Drosophila melanogaster: one gene and its partners. The protein of the gene in region 1 interacts with the protein of each later gene in a pairwise test. Each region holds a gene or a part of one and is shown in the gene's direction. Other genes may lie near its edges.

Region 1 (5,517 bases):
CCCAACGTCGTGACGCAATCGGCGTTACGATGCCAACATTTTACTCTTAAGATACAGTCGCAATGCGAACAGCGAGCAAATAAATAAATTAACTAACTTTGAATGATGAATGACAACATTTTTACTGCCCATTAATATGTACGTCGTCATAAGCAAACACGAATATGAATAAAATACGATGATCTGTACCACTTATATACATTTTCAAATACCTGTTCTTTAGAACAAATATTGCCAGCCATAAACTCAACTACTGAACAAATTTAGGCCAGTACTTAAACTACGTTGCTCACTTATTGTAGTTTAAGTACAATTAGTTGCAAATAATTACTTAGCTGCAATCAGGTGCGGTAAAACAATATGGATTTAATTTCTAAACAATCTCCACTCACGTTTCATATGATTGTAGATCCAAAGTAAATAGTAAATAAATAAACTAACATCGCATGACGATCATATAATTGCAATTTAGAGCAGCATGTTTTAATTCAGATAAATTAATAAAAAATACTTAGACAATTTTAAGGGTCGAGAAAGCATTTCGATAGTATAATTAACGTATAGAAGAGGGGATATATTTTTCCTGGTAAGGCAATTAATAAAAGTAATTAGCATGAATTAGAAACAATACTTAATTAAATAAATTATCATCGATTATCAGCATGTTTTATACACTTTATTTTGTTTCGTTCGTTCTCCTAATTTGAATTGATCTATGGCACATGTGAAAAGTTGGAATGTTTTATTTATTTGATGTGCAATAAACTTTGTTTGAAAATATACAGATTTATATTAACCACTGATCCATGACGGCACATCATATCTTTTATCGATGAGTGATTGCGCGCTATTTATATACTACATAGGTTTTTATATTTATTTATATTCTATCTGCCATATGTTCAATGCATTTCCCCCGTTATTTTCCAAAGAAAAGTGAGGAAAAGTGATTTTGAGTCTTGAGTCAGCCAACAACCAGGTGGAAACATCGCTTAGAAAACCATTATCGATTTTAGGATCGGCGGAATTGATCTCGCACACCCCGATCTCCCACGCATTTTAACCCCATACTTTACCAAAATAATTTCATAGTTAGTTAATACAGCAGTAATTAAGTTGATAAATTATCTGAATTAAGATTTCGGTATTTATTTAATGCACTTTTGGTTAGCATTGTTGGCTCACTTATGCCATATTTATATTCATATTTTTTTTTTTTAAACCATGAAGTGGGTGGTATTTTAGTTTGTAGCGAGTGCAGGGGGTTAAACGTTATGCGCTTTTTGCATCGCTCACACAGACAGACGCCGCTCTTTATTTCTATATAGTTTTGTTTTATTTCTGCCTTCCGACTTTTGCCTTTTGCAATTTTCGCTTTTCGCCGCTGTTGGCCAACTCGAGCATTGAGTCTGGTTTGAGTTCTTGCCGTGAGCGGTCCTACATTTCGTGCGATTCCGGCGATTCACAGAAACACTCGATACACTTGATCGCGTACTCACAGCGAGCAAGAGGTGATCATCGCCGATCGAGTGACTAAATAAATGCACATATATTCAACATATTCAATACGTACTAATCAGTGTTGTTAGGTGAGAATAACACTTGCTGCTAAATCTGCACCAATAATCCGTGTCTAATAATCATAAGAGATGGAAGTGCATCATACTGCTCATTCTGAATGTGTGAATAATTAAGTGCTGTGGCCTTGGCGGGTTAATTATTATAATTTTTTTTTTTACTTTCCGGTTCTTTAAAGTGTTTTGCTTACTCACCCCTGAGAGCGCGACAGTAATCAGTTTTTATTTCCAGTGTGCGCCTCAATAACGGATATTCTAATTTGGTTTAAAGCTCGTAAATTATAAACCAGACAAAATTAAGTGCACTTCAATATTATCAAGGTCTTGATTTTCGTAGTTTTTACTGATTGTTCTGCTACTTGTAGTGTTAAAAAAAAAAATTAATTTATAACCAAAGCCACTAAAAATATGCTAATTTCTGCAAATCACAAAATTCCGCCGTGGAAGCAATCAAATGTTTGTTGATATTATGAGGTTTGACATTGATTTGAACTGGTCAAAAGCGATGGGAATTATAATGAATCGGGCGTATTTAATTGGCATTCAGTATTTTATGCGAATTAATTAGCATGTTGTCAATGGTAAAACTGTGTCATATGTGTCTGCATTTTTAATGGCACGAATTTCAATTTCGAACTCTGTTATTATTTACAATACTTTTTATCATGAAGAACTTCTTTAAGAAAATATTTTTTTTTTCTAATTGTCACTTTCTAGGGTTAAATCTTATAGGAGAAGAGTTGAAGCTATTTAAATATTAATTTGTATATTACTATAAAGTAGATATTTTCAAAAATTTCAAGCGGCATCAAAATAATGTATTTTGTACTTATGTATGTTGGGTTACCTGGGGTTAAAGCTTAGACAAATATAAAGACAATGCCAAAGAGAGACCTAACTGTACTTCATCGCTACTTCTCTGGCCGTCTTTTTCCCGCGAGAACGCAAGTACCGTTTAAGCTTTTCTGGACTTTCTTCTAGAGCCGACGAGAGATTTTTTCAAATTTTCTATTTAATCCACAGCAGCAGCAGAGTGATCAAAAGGCGATCGAAGCAGCCGGCGAAATGGGAAGAACACTGGAAATAACCGGAAGACAGAATGATAAGAGTCTGGAGAAGAATCCGGAGCGCTTCACGAAGAATGTGACGGAGAAAGGCGCCGATCCTGAGAACGGAGACCCGGTGCGCAGGCGCGGCCATGAGACCAGCGAACTGGAGGCGGCTACGCATCTCTTCAAGGGCAGCGTCGGTGCCGGACTCTTCGCCATGGGCGATTGCTTCAAGAACGGCGGATTGGCAGGAGCAACCATCCTGCTGCCCATCATTGCGGTGATGTGCGTCCACTGCGAGCGCATGCTGATCCGTGGTTCCGTGCTGGCCGTGGAGCGCACGCCCGGCGTGGACTTTCTCGACTATCCGGAAACAGTGGAGAAGTGCTTCGAGCACGGGCCACGCCCACTGCGAAAAATGTCGCGCGTAATGAAGCTGATCGTTGAAATGTTCCTCTGCGTCACGCAGTTTGGCTTCTGCGCCATCTACTTTGTCTTCATCACGGAAAATCTGCACCAGGTCCTCCAGCAGAACGGCATCGTTATCAGCATGAGCATGGTGATGCTGATCACCCTGCTACCGGCGATGATACCCTCGCTGATGACCAACCTGAAGTACATCTCGCCCGTGTCGCTGTTTGCCAATGTGGCGCTGCTCTTCGGCTTGATTGCCACCCTGACCATAGCCTTCTCGGATGGACCCATGCCGTCCGTTGGCGACAGGCACCTCTTCACTGGCGGAGCTCAGTTGGCCCTGTTCTTTGGTACCGCTCTGTTCTCTTACGAGGGCATCGCCCTCATCCTGCCGCTGCGGAACTCGATGCGCCGACCGGAGAAGTTTAGCACCCGGTTCGGAGTGCTCAACTCCACGATGTTCTTTACCACGGCCCTGTTCATCTTCACCGGATTCGTGAGCTATGTGCGATGGGGCGAGGAGGTAGCCGGCAGCATAACGCTAAATCTTGTAGTGGAGGAAGTGTAAGTAGAATCACCAGGTTAAGATAATATGAAATTACTTGTAATGATTTTTTACATTTTATTTTCGAATCGCCTGTTTTGTTATTAATATTATTGATTTCATTGCAGTTTTTCGCAGGTGGTGAAAGTGATCGCTGCTTTGGGCGTTTTCCTGGGCTACCCCATCCAGTTCTTTGTGATGATTAAGATTTTGTGGCCCCCACTAAAGAGGTCTAATAACTGCACTCAAAAGTATCCCATTACCTCGCAGGTGTGCCTCCGTTTCTTTATGGTGATGATGACATGTAAGTGGGTTGTAAATTAAAAAAATATATATATATACAATTGGAAATGGAATCACTATATTGATCAATATCAATGATAATGTAGTAATATCCGTTTTAAATGATCATAGCTATAGCTTTTACGCTATTCGGAATATATTTCTATATGTGCTTTTCCAGTTGGCGTTGCGCTGGTCGTTCCCAAGCTCAATCTGTTCATCTCGCTGATCGGAGCACTGTGCTCCACCTGTCTGGCTTTTGTGATTCCGGTGCTGATCGACTTCGTGACGCGGGCGCAGGTGCCCAAGGCACTGGGTGTGTGGTCCTACATCAAAAACATTCTCATCCTGACGGTGGCCGTGCTGGGCATCGTCACTGGCACCTACCAGAGCATCGTGGAGATCGTCAAGGAGTTTAAGTAGGCTTAGAGAGCTAGCAAGTATATTTTGTACATAAATAATGCTGTCATTCCGCGGAACTATGTGAATGCGTTGTCCTGTTCTGATGTAAGATTAATTTGTGTATTTTTCCACTCTTTTTTTTATTATTATTTTGTTGATAGTTTTAAGCTGTGCATATTTTTTTTTTGTTTGTATGTATAAAAAAAATGTTTATTTGGCACAAAAACGAAAGGAGGCATAAAGGAAAAACATGATCTGCAGCTATAACCCATTTTAATAATTGATTACCATAGCAATAGGGCTTTGATTGTGTGAGAGCCTGCAAATGATCGTTAAAGCCATATGTATGTAATAAATGCTATTCATCGATTTTATAAATATATATGTATAAAGTATTAACTAGCCTTCAGCCAACAATGTTTAACACTAAGTTCTTTTACAAAGTGAAAAATATGCGCTTTTGAGAGCGTATAAATCAATAAACATAAATCAACAACGAATTTAATACATTCAAAGCAGTTTATTCGTAAATTTTGGTGGTAAATACTCTAAGATCGGCAGTATATTAGTGAGTCTTTTACATTCCCGGTCCCGAAAGACTCTTCTCCATGAACTTCTTCTTGGCAAAGCATATCCACCACTTGCTCGGCTTTCCATCCGGAGTATCAAAGACCTTTTCCAGCAATCTGTTTCCGGTTTCCTGGCGCAACTGCAGGAAGTACTGACGCATCAGCTCCGGATCCTCGGGCTTGGTGTATATTCCGTTCAGCGGAAATCCCGCATCTCCGGGTATATCGAACCGCGAGATGGCCAGCGTATAGAGCTCCTGCTGACCCTGCGATTTGCTTGTGCATCGGGCCAATCGCTTCAAACATTCCGTGATGTAGAGCGTTATGTAGATGAGCACCCTGTCCACCTCCGACTGCGATTAGATATACAATGTATGGGTAATAGGGGTTTTTTAAAAAGTAATTTTAAAAGTTTAAACATAGCAACAATATTCTAAGAATGATATCATAATTGATAAGACTATTATTGCTATAAGCTATATAGTAATATAAGCTATATAAGCTATAAGCTATTATTGAACTTTTAAAAAAAAATTCCAAGCTCCAAAAAAATAATTTCATTATGTAGAAATACCCAACTCTTGGAACACCATATAAGAAAGGGGTATTACTAAAAATTTAACAAATAACTTCACTCTTATCAGGCTGATTGTAACGACATATTTCTACAAATAAGGGCG
Region 2 (4,208 bases), on another chromosome or scaffold:
GAATAAGAAACTATCCTATTAAAATATGTCGGAAATCGATCCTCAATCATTTGTCAGTATTTGTTCAACAGCCCATGTAAAACTGTCAGCTTAAGCGTAGAAAAAACAAAACATGATTCGATACACATGCTTATTGAAAAAAAAAAAAACATTTTATTTTCTTTGGTTTTGTGGTCATCCGAAAATAGTTGTGAGCTCGAGGTGTCCCATAATTAATTTTTAACCATTTTTAGGCCAATAATTAAAAATGCATTTATTACGACCGGATGGATGGTAGGCATCGATCGCAGGGGCATTTATCGCCCAATCGTTTCGATGTGATGGATTTGGGATACGGATTCGCAGGTGGATGTAGTTTGGGTTCGGATTCGGTTGCTAATGCTATGCATAGGAATGGACAAAGGTAGCCTATGTCAAAATCTCTCATGGTGTGAATTAATAAATTAAAATAAAATAGTTTTGTTACGCAAATCATAATTTGTGTACCGTCAACATTCACTTTTATGCTTTGACTAATCTGCGCACCGAGTGTTTTGCATTCAATAGATTTTGGCAACTTATTCATTTTGCATAAAATATGCAAAGTGCGGCAATAGTTGGCACCCATTAATCATGGTCGCATTTTATTTCCATTTAAAATTGTAATTTTCTCTTGTTGCTACTTTTGAACTAATGCATTTAGATCTATTAATTAATGACAAAGTAATTTTGGTTTCCCATTACAAACAGAAAACAACTTATCGTATATTTCTTTGACAGATCTTTGCATCTTTAATGGCCCAAAAAGGGAACATAGTTTCGGTTCCATTTCACTGTTTTTCATGGCTCACGAAATTGGCGTGAGAAAGTTGAAAACCATTTTTTTTTTTTTTTGGCATCGACCAGAAAACATGTGGGCTAACTCATTATCTGGTGGCCAAGTTGCCCTTGGCTGGTTTATTTTGATTTGTGGGCAGAATTTCACCCGGCTAATGAGATGCACCCTGTCGGATGCACAAGATTTTGAAATATATCTCAGGTGGCAAAGTGGCAAGTGTGTAAGTCCAAATTGGAAAGGAAGCAGCAAAGCTTGCTATCTCCGCTTCGATATTACACCATTTGCACATTCACTCCATTAGTATGGAGACCTGCCAATTAGCCCTATAAGGTCTATATCTGCTTGTATTCCGTATGCATCTGCTTGTTATGACAACTAATTTCCGCTGGAAGCTGGCATATCCATTTGATACGCTGTGCTTTCGATTTGATCGGGGGTTATTTACCTTCACTTTTTTAGTTTGAAATCCAATTCAAATTCAATACTATCATTTTGTCTCAATTTGGCACATTTAAAGCTGACAATATATCGCCCAACACTTACGCCCCATCGAATGGAGACAAAAACCTAGACCTTGGGCCAGACCAAAACTGATGCGAAATACTGAAGTCCCCGGCATATACAATTTTCAATTTCCATTTGATAGCTCAGGTTTCGAACAATAAAACAAAATAGAGACAATGGTCCCGTAGACAAAAGTGCATTTTAAGTCGGTCGAGTAACCTCGTCCGCCTATCTTCGTCATCAATATTTACATATTACTCTGGGACATTCAACTGATCTGCAAAAACTACGAAGCTAAACAAAACTTTTGTATTAATTTAAACGACGATTTGATTGTCCACTTGGCAGCCATGGATATGCTTGGGTATTTTAATTATATTTACAATTAAATGATTAAGTAGTTTCTCAATAAATGTTTTTACTGCCTGTATGAAAAAATCTAAATATAAATCTATAATCAAATTCAATGAATTAATTGCAATATTGAGATTGAAGTTAGTATAGTTACTAGGGATCTGATGAATGAATAGTTATTTGAATTTTGTTTATATTCTGAAATCGTATTAGATACTTGCTTGGAGTGAACGCACACTTAATATATATTATATTTATAAGGCAAATGTTCAAAATGATATAGTTACAGCTCGACTAACTTGTTTACAACAAATGCAGATTTTTTTTTGTCGTATCTGTATCACCCATTGTTGGGGCTTCCTCTCGCTCGACTTTTGTGGAACCCCATGTAAAGTCGATACAAAAGCCCACTTGCCACCCAGCCAAATGAATCCGAACAACCTCTTCGCCACGCATAACAAATGTTTTATGACCCCTCGACTGTTGCAACTGTGTTGGCTGCTGTTTCACGATTTGTTTCCGATTATAAACAAGTTGGGCCCGTGGATTGGTATAAAAGGCCAGGTGCCCGGTTGACCCATCATCACAGCACTAAGAAACTCGGACAGCGAGGGAGCATCCGGCTTAAGACAGCTAACCAGCAGAGAGACACCCACCCAAGCGGCAGCATGAAGATATTTGTGGTGCGTTGGAACTTGGACTACCTCTATGCCAATTGGATTACAAGGGATTATAATGATTGCTTCTCTTTCAGACGGTTCTGATGGGCGCCATGTGCCTGAGCCTCAGCCAGGCTGACATCAGCTTGACCCAGGCGGGTTACAACTACCGCATCCAACAGCAGCAGCAGCAACAGCAACCGCCCATTGTGGCCCACCTGTTGAACCAGCAACTGCAGCAGCAGCAGCAGCTCCAGCCCCAGCAATCCTCGCACCCGGTGCTTCCACCTCTCCCACTGCCCTACCTCCCGCCCGCTGGCCAGTTCCATTCTGCCCAGCCTGCAGTTCGTCCCACAGCCGGATCGTTTCCCATGCCCGCCGGCTTCCCCGTCAATTTCCAGACCGCTCCCATCCAGCAGCAGCGACGCGCTCGTCCGCGTGTCAGGATTCCCAAGCGTCCCATTGTGACCAAAAACTTTTTCATCCACTCGGCGCCCGAGGAGTCTGAGGATGAGGTCCAGGACGAGCTGAACCAGTTGGCCCAGCAGCCCCGTAACCACTACAATGTGCTGTTCGTCAAGACGCCGGCTCAGACCAATCGCGCGGCGGCTCTTAACTTGGCCAAGACCCTTAAGCAGGAGAAGACCGTGGTCTATGTGCTGGCCAAGAAGACGACCGCCTCCGATCTGCAGGATGCCATTGCCGAGGCGCCACAGCACATCAATAAGCCGGAGGTGTTCTTCATCAAGTACCGCACTCCAGAGGAAGCTCTGAATGCCCAGCGGCAGATTCAGTCACAGTACGATACTTTGGGAGGAAGTTCGACCATCACCGACGAGGGTGTGGCCCCCATCACCTCGGTGGTGGGATCCCTGGATCCTCCAGAGGAGGAGGAGGAGGAACAGCAACAGCAGCAACATTCAGAGGGACAATTTGCGGAGAACGGTGCCGGAAACTCTGGCGTCGGTCCCATCGGCAATCATTATTTGCCCGCGAACCAGTTCTAAGTATTCTTCATTGCTCGTCACATCCAGATCTAGTTAGCTGTCATCAACACCACTTAGGTTTAAGTGCTTGCCAATGTTACCCAAATCCGTATTAAAATATAATTGTTAAAAAAAAAACCATTGAATTTTAACTAGATGACGATTTTAAGAAGTGATTAATAGTACTTTAATAAGTCCCACTAAATGGGAATGAATTTAGCTTTCCAAACTGAACGAACGTATTATTGGAATAAGAGGAATTTTTTTGGATCCAAAGTATGTTCTAGGAAAACACATTCAATACTTGCACTTAAGCTCTGGCGGCTTGTCTTTTGAAGCTGGACATGTTTCAAGTACATCCTTCATTTCAGCAAAGGACTGCGCAAGCGCCTTGGCGATCTTTTGGTGATCAGTTGCCTGACAATGTCGCCATGCGGATATGGCCAAAATGATGTCATGTTCACGGGGATTGTAGCAACAGGCATATCCATCTTCTACAGAAGGTCCATATCCCATGAAGGCATCATATTTGGTGGCCACCTGCGAAGTGGACATTCGAAAGTGCGTGGACTTTACATATCCTGGCGAAGAGAAGAACTCCGGAACAGGTAGGCAGTTCTCCACCGCCATTAGTTTAAGTCCAAAGAGGTGACGATCGACACCCTTTCCCAGAAGCGCCAGCTTCGCATACATCTGATGGCACATCACTGCCTCGCGAATCTTACTAGCCCGCTCCTGAGCTGATGCACTCACATCATCCATGGCGTGGCAAAAAGCCAGGGATTCATTGGAGCACGAACGGATGGTTTCGGTTCGGCCGCCATCGAAGATGCGCAAATGCGCCGATTCATATTGAGCAGCTGGCTCATAGTGCAATTTAAAGAATGC
Region 3 (7,055 bases), on another chromosome or scaffold:
AAAAGAAGTCCAAAGAAGGTTCTGGGAATCATTGGATTTTAATTAACAGAAAAAAAGGAAGGGAAAAGGGGGCAAAAAAGCGGTAACAAAGCCAAAGGACCTTCGGCATTGGTAAAAAAAAGAATATACACATGCATATTCTCTGCACTTTGTTTGTGTGTTTTTTTAGTTTACTCCGGAACTTTGGTCCTTGGTTTGTACTCAATGATTTTGGGTTTTCATTGCATGATTGCACTTTTGCGGTATTTCATTTACTCGATTTTTACTCGGTTGTGGTAATCAAACAGTTCATTTGTACCAATTTCTTGGGTATTTTAGCCAATGGATTTTCAGATATTTTGAAACAATCACTTAAACTTTGCGAAGCTTTGAATGCTACAAAAATAAATTGGTTACAGACAACTATTTCTGACTTACAAAGGGCATATTTAACAAATTTATAATGGTTTCTTTTTCTCTAGTAATTAAACATTTTTTATATGGCTTAAAAAACGTTTTGGACGTTTTTTAGGAGTTTCACAGGGGCTTACGTGAAATCTCTGGAAGCTGGAAAAACACACGAATGCCGCCAGACTCGGTGATGAATCTAGGCCCCAGGATGCATTGCGCCATATACAAACCCCCCATCAGATCGCCGAGAATCCTTTCCAGTCGCTGGCGACACACGCACCGGGTCAATTTCATGCAACACAAACAAGGGGAGGAGTTGTGGAACGGGGCAAGGAGCAGCTTTGCTGCGTGGAGGACACGTTTTCCCTCGCTTTCACCCGCTTCTCCGCCGCCATTCCTTTGAGGAGCAGCCAGGCGGACAGAAAGGCGAGCAGGTGCTCAGCTGTAACTAAACGTCCGTTTTAACATTGCCATCTGATGGTCCTGCTTCTTGTTTCCCAGATTTTGGATGGGGTGTGGCATGTGGCACATGTCAGTTGCTGGTCACGTCGCATGCAGGGGCATAATTGATAGTTCAATCTGTTGCAGATCAAACGCTTGACAGCAGCCAACAGATCAAGCTGAAAAATTGTCCAGCAGCAAGTTTGGCCAAAGAGGTGGGAACATTTGATTATATTTGATTTGTTGAGCTAATTCCAAAGAAAAATATGCTAAGTATAGAATAAATTTCATATATCTTTTTATAAAAGAGTAATCATGAGTACCTATAAGTATTGTTTCATTCATACTCCTGACTTTAATTTACCCAAAACCATTTATTATTTTAATCTCAAAAAATCTGTACTTAAATAATCCGCACTTTCTTTTATGCAACTTTATTTTTATATTAATGGATTTGTCCTTTCAGGCTGCACTTTATATTTTCCAACTTCGTGACTGTTTGTCAACCCAAAGGCGACTGAAGAAGGGATGGAAAAAAGGTCAGCCAGACAGCATAAAAACATCCTTCAGACAAATAGATTTGTATGCTTTTAAGTAATTTGCAGCACAAATTGAAATACCATGGCTAGCTTTCTATGCAACTGCAGCTTGCAAATCCACTTTAAACTAGAGATACAAATTTCTTCAATCTGTTTATACATTTTCAACTAATTCTACTTAATGCCGTATTTTGTGTGCCACTCATGTTTTGTCGCTTAATTTTAATGGCTTGCCGGGCATTAAACTTCTAGCTTCATTTATGTTTATGTTCGCATTTTTATTCGTGTAATTTACGCGTCGAGTGCTGATCATAAATTGTGACTCGAACTTCGCTGTCGGAAAGGTCACGTGGGCTCATTAAAGACCCAACAACACCGTGAACTGGAACAAGAACAATAAGTGTAATAACAGCAGCAATAAGAGTCACAAAAGGCGCACACAAAACACATGCGAACAGGATAAAATGATTTACCTTCGAAATGAAAGAATATAAAATGACACTCATTTCACAAGCAATACGTGTGTAAAAAAACACCAGTAGGGGAAATACTTAAAGAAAACCCCAGAGAAGCTTCCTGCCTTATATTTTGCTTAAAATTAACCTTTATAAACAAAACAATCTATGACGCCACGATAAGACTTCAATACGTAATTGGCTTATCACTAGATTAGAATATTACGGAAACTATCTTGTGTTGCTCGTGTTGAAATGGCACTTAAGAAAAATAATTCAGAAGTTAACGATAACATAAAATCACAAATCACAATCACTAGAATGAAAACGATATTCTATAAATTTCAAAGAATTTCTAATTAAATCTAATCAAAATGTCATTAATATAAGCTACCGACGTTGTATCAGGAAATAGCTTTTGCTATAGACAAGACAGTTGGCCTAGTTAACAAGTCAGTGTGGAGTTAAACTCGCAGGCGAAAAGACCTATTAAAAATATATAGTACAATTTAGAAAGGGGAGTTGTTATGCAAGGTAAATCTAAGATATTCTATGCAAGTACAATGCAATAAATTATTATGTCAATTATACATAAATATTTAAACTTAAATACTAGTAATAGTCTCTGTATGTTTTTTTTTTTGTATTATTATTGTATTCTTTCCTTTTCCAGATAATATTTTCAAGCCTTTGCCATGGCTTCTGGTGGTTATCGCCGTATTCTGGAGCTGGCAGCTAAATGTTTTGGCCCTGCCAAAGATCGAACCTCGTCACGAAACTTGCAACAATGAACAGCGATACGAAAACCAGGTGATGTGCGAGGGCAAGGACTTTGGTGCTTTGGTACCGTATCCGGATAACTGTAGTTTGTTCCTAGTTTGCGACTGTCTCTATCCCACGGTGAAGTTGTGTCCCGCAAATCTCTGGTGGGATAATAAGACCCAGCAATGTAATTATCCCCAAGCTGTAGAATGTATCTACTACTCGATTGAAACGCCAGAACCTACGGATGGAACTACTCGATTTACGCCAGAACCAACATCCAGTACTCAAAAGATAACGCCAGAACCCACAGAACCACCATCAAGTACGGCAAAGATAACGACAGAAAGTACCACCGGAACCAGTACAGAGATAACGTCCTCTACCCCCTCAAGTTACCTCCCAACATCCAGTTGGGATCCACCACCGGCACCACCGGGAATTTCAGATGACTACTGTCGCAACAAGGAGGATGGCTCGGTACATTATTATCCATATGACTGCCAGGCCTATATAAACTGCACTTACGGCTGGCCCGTGCTAAATTACTGTATTGAAGACAAGGTATTCAATAAGTACCTTGGCATTTGCGATACTCCCGATATGGCAGATTGCGAGGAGCTGCCCCTTCCTACAACCACAACAGAAATGCCGCCCACTTCAACAACTGAGGAGGATGTGGTTTGCGGTCCAACGCCGGAGGGAATTGAAGAGGATTATTGTGTGCCGAAGGGAAATGGTTTCTATGAGTATCCTTACAATTGCAGTGGGTACTTGGCCTGCAAAAATGGTTGCACAGATTTGGATTACTGCCAGCCGGATAAACTCTTTAATAATTGGCTGCACATCTGCGATACACCCGATTCGGTGCGGTGTGACCCCCTGCCATTCCCCACAACTCCGGGAACAACCAACAAACCAACGACGCCTTCAGTCACGACGACGCCTTCAATCACTACAACTCCTTCAACGCCTACAACACTGCCTTCTGATGGGTCTACAACGGAAATACATTCTAGCACCACAGAAGAGATTGTAACCACTACAGATGGACTTCCCTCTGATGTCGATCCAAATGATTGTAAAGATGAAAAGGACGGCACTATTTTTGCCTACATAGGCAATTGTTCGGAGTACTTAATATGTAAAGACAATCAAGTGCAAATGGGTCATTGTCCTCCTAATACGCTCTTCAATCCCGACTTGCTTGTATGCGATGAGCCAGATGATGTTGTGTGCCTTGGAGATCGCACCACGACACCAATTCCAACCACCATACCAACTACTACTACTGAAAAAACCACTCCTACCACGACTACCACCACAGTGGCAACAACTTTGGGACCAGATCAGCTTTGCGATGGTCAGGAGTTGGGAGCTTCGTTTTCTTATCCGGATGATTGCAGCAAGTATTATCTTTGCTTGGGCGGCGGACAATGGACTCTGGCACCCTGCATTTACGGCAGTTATTTTGATCCCAGCACAGGTCAGTGTGGACCTGATGTGGCACCCGATGCGTGCAAACCATCACAAGTCACAACCACCACAACAACAACAACGACAGAGACCACAACAACCGAAAGAAATACCACACCCAAGTCCACAGCTACAACCACCGAAAGGACAACCACAACTGTGGCCCCAAAAACTGGTATTTGCGGTGGTCGAAATGAGAACGAGAATATTGCTTATCCCAACAACTGCACCAAGTACATTGTGTGCGTTTCACCAATTCCCATAGCGTTCTTCTGTCCCGATGGTACATTCTTCAGTTCCAAGTTAGAGAAGTGCATTGATGATTGGGATGAAAGTGATTGTGAGGGTGATCAAAGCACAACGACTCTAGAACCAGGCTATACAAGACCTCCTCCGGAACCGACCATGTGTACAAATAGCAGTCGGGATACATTCCCATATCCGGACAATTGTCAATGGTTCATACGCTGTGTGGATGATTACATTTACATGATGGACGTCTGTAATTGTGGGGAGTACTACGATCCAATTACTGAAAAGTGTGGAGCGGATGTTCCTTCAGATGCCTGTCGATGGGACTACACTTCAACCACATCAACTACCAGTGAGCCGACAACGACCACAGCGGTTACGAGACCACCACCGCAGAAAGGACCTTGTGACGACGTCGAGGATGGGGCCCTTGTCGCTTATCCCAACGATTGTTCGAAGTATATTCAGTGCGATAGACCCATTGCGGTTGCCTTTGAATGCGAAAAAGGAGATGAATTTAGTGTGGAGCTTGGAAAATGTGTTGATGCTTCACTCGCCAATTGTTCGATTACAACCACTGCTAAGCCATCGGAGTCGACGACTACACCAAGAGACGGGGAAGGCTCAACAACGCCTTCCGAACCATCAACGGGATCTTCTACAGAATCGTCTACAGAATCAACAACAGAACCATCTACAGAATCAACAACAGAATCAACAACAGAATCAACAACGGAATCAACAACAGAATCATCTACAGGACAATCAACAGAAACTACAGAATCATCTACAGTATTATCTACTGATACTTCTGAATCACCTTCAACAATTTCAACACCACCATCATCTACTACAATGGAACCAGGAACAACTAACCCGGAAGCTTCTACAACTGAAAAGCCGGCAGATGGAATTTGTGAAGGCAAGACAGACGACTCCTTGGTACCCTACCCGAGAAACTGTAGCAAGTATATAAAGTGCCAATATCCAATACCAGTTGGTTACGATTGTCCGGATGGTTTGGAGTTTAGTCCCACGGAATTGACCTGCATGGATCCCGAACTAGCTGGTTGTAGCACTAAGTTAACCACACCAGGGCTTACAACTTTAAGTACAGAAGCTTCGTCTACACCGGTAACAACAGTTTCAACAACACCCGAGGCTACCACTACAGAAATGTCAACTACTCCAAAGACTACTACTACCGAGTCAACCACAATCTCAACAACAACCACAGATTCAACCACTCCCCAAACAACTACAACAGAATCGACAACTTCCAAAACAACTACCACAGAATCAACGATAATTTCAACAACTCCAACGACAACCGAGCCAACAACTCCAAAGACCACTACTACCGAGTCAACCACAATCCCAACAACAACCACAGAATCAACTACAGCTACAACCACTCCCCAAACAACTACCACGGAATCAACGACAATTTCAACAACTCCAAAGACTACTACTACAGAGTCAACGACAGTTTCAACAACCCCAACGACAACCGAGTCAACGACAATTTCAACAACCCCAACGACAACCGAGCCAACAACCGTTTCAACAACTCCAAAGACAACAACCACCGAATCGACAACAGTAACAACAACAACTGAATCGACAACCACAGTTTCTACACCAACAACTCTAGATCCGTACACCCCCAATATATGCTGTGGCCAAGCTCTTGGAACTCTGCTTCCGTATCCCAATGATTGCGGTCGCTATGTCGTCTGTGACTATCCCATTCCATATGCCGTGGATTGCGATGAGGGAACGATTTTCGATGATAATCTTCTTCAATGCACCTCTGTTCCCAATGAAAGGTGTCTTTTTATTGAATTTTAAAAAAATATATTAATAAAGCATAAATCACAGCAATAATCTTTTCCATTTCTGTTCTTTTTGCTACCCCAAAAAATCAATTGGGTAAATGCACAAATGCTCAATAGCTGGGAATCGCTTAACATATTCCTCACACATTACACTTCTAGGGCTTTCTAAGTCCTTTTTTAAGTGTTTCACTTTTTAGACATATACTTTGCTCCAGTTTTAGTATCAATTACATGCAAACCCTTTTCCCGTAATATGTCGCAAAAAAACGGAACCAAGAAAAAAAAAGTAATTTACCACTTAACACAGTCAATTCCCCGGACAGGTAACAAGCCGATTGGAATTGCAGAACCTCCTGTCGAAAGGATTGCAAACGAAGACCCTCAAGGGGACGCAAACGCGCGACAGTATTTTTAGCAACAGGCTAAAAGCAGTTTCCCCTTGACAATGCCACGTCTGATATCCTGCTCAGTTACAAGTTTCAGCCATTTATCGTAGCCTGATACTGCCGTTCTTGGCCCAAAGCTGAAACCCTCGGAAGCTCGTCTAATCAGATTTGGGGTTGGCCACATAAAAACACAATTGCCAAGGAATTATCCTTAGGGTGTGAGGTGGCAGGCAGGACATATACAATTGAGGGTAAATATAACAAGCACAAGGATAAGTTGTTCAGTTTTGTTGTTGCTACTGCGGTTGTTGTTGTGGAAATCGAAGAAAGGGAAAGGAAACCAAAGCAAGTTATGTATGTGAGCATCAATGACAGTAACGACACAAAATGAACACAATTCGAGCAAATTGTTTGGCAATAATGTTAACTTAATGCGTTCCATTTGTCGCACTTGAATCGATAGACACGCGCGAAGGCGCTCCTTCGAGTGATTTGTAACGCTTTGATAGCCACCCA

What was found.
Region 2: the proteins of CG4991 (region 1) and TwdlW interact in a two-hybrid assay, tested with the Drosophila melanogaster proteins (one large-scale study listed by BioGRID).
Region 3: the proteins of CG4991 (region 1) and CG4835 interact in a two-hybrid assay, tested with the Drosophila melanogaster proteins (one large-scale study listed by BioGRID).

The regions. Positions count from the first base shown.
Region 1 is NC_004354.4:17,099,797-17,105,313, forward strand, and holds CG4991 (uncharacterized protein), read left to right. Parts: upstream 1-2,412; 5' UTR 2,413-2,456; coding exon 2,457-2,525; intron 2,526-2,579; exon of another isoform or gene 2,580-2,600; coding exon 2,601-3,604; intron 3,605-3,712; coding exon 3,713-3,888; intron 3,889-4,047; coding exon 4,048-4,289; 3' UTR 4,290-4,766; downstream 4,767-5,517. Other genes in the region: Arpc3B (Actin-related protein 2/3 complex, subunit 3B), read right to left, coding at 4,846-5,190.
Region 2 is NT_033777.3:17,140,448-17,144,655, reverse strand, and holds TwdlW (TweedleW), read left to right. Parts: upstream 1-2,251; 5' UTR 2,252-2,343; coding exon 2,344-2,358; intron 2,359-2,429; coding exon 2,430-3,341; 3' UTR 3,342-3,448; downstream 3,449-4,208. Other genes in the region: CG5265 (uncharacterized protein), read right to left, coding at 3,618-4,208.
Region 3 is NT_037436.4:5,477,498-5,484,552, forward strand, and holds CG4835 (uncharacterized protein), read left to right. Parts: upstream 1-2,292; 5' UTR 2,293-2,352; coding exon 2,353-2,359; intron 2,360-2,498; coding exon 2,499-6,166; downstream 6,167-7,055.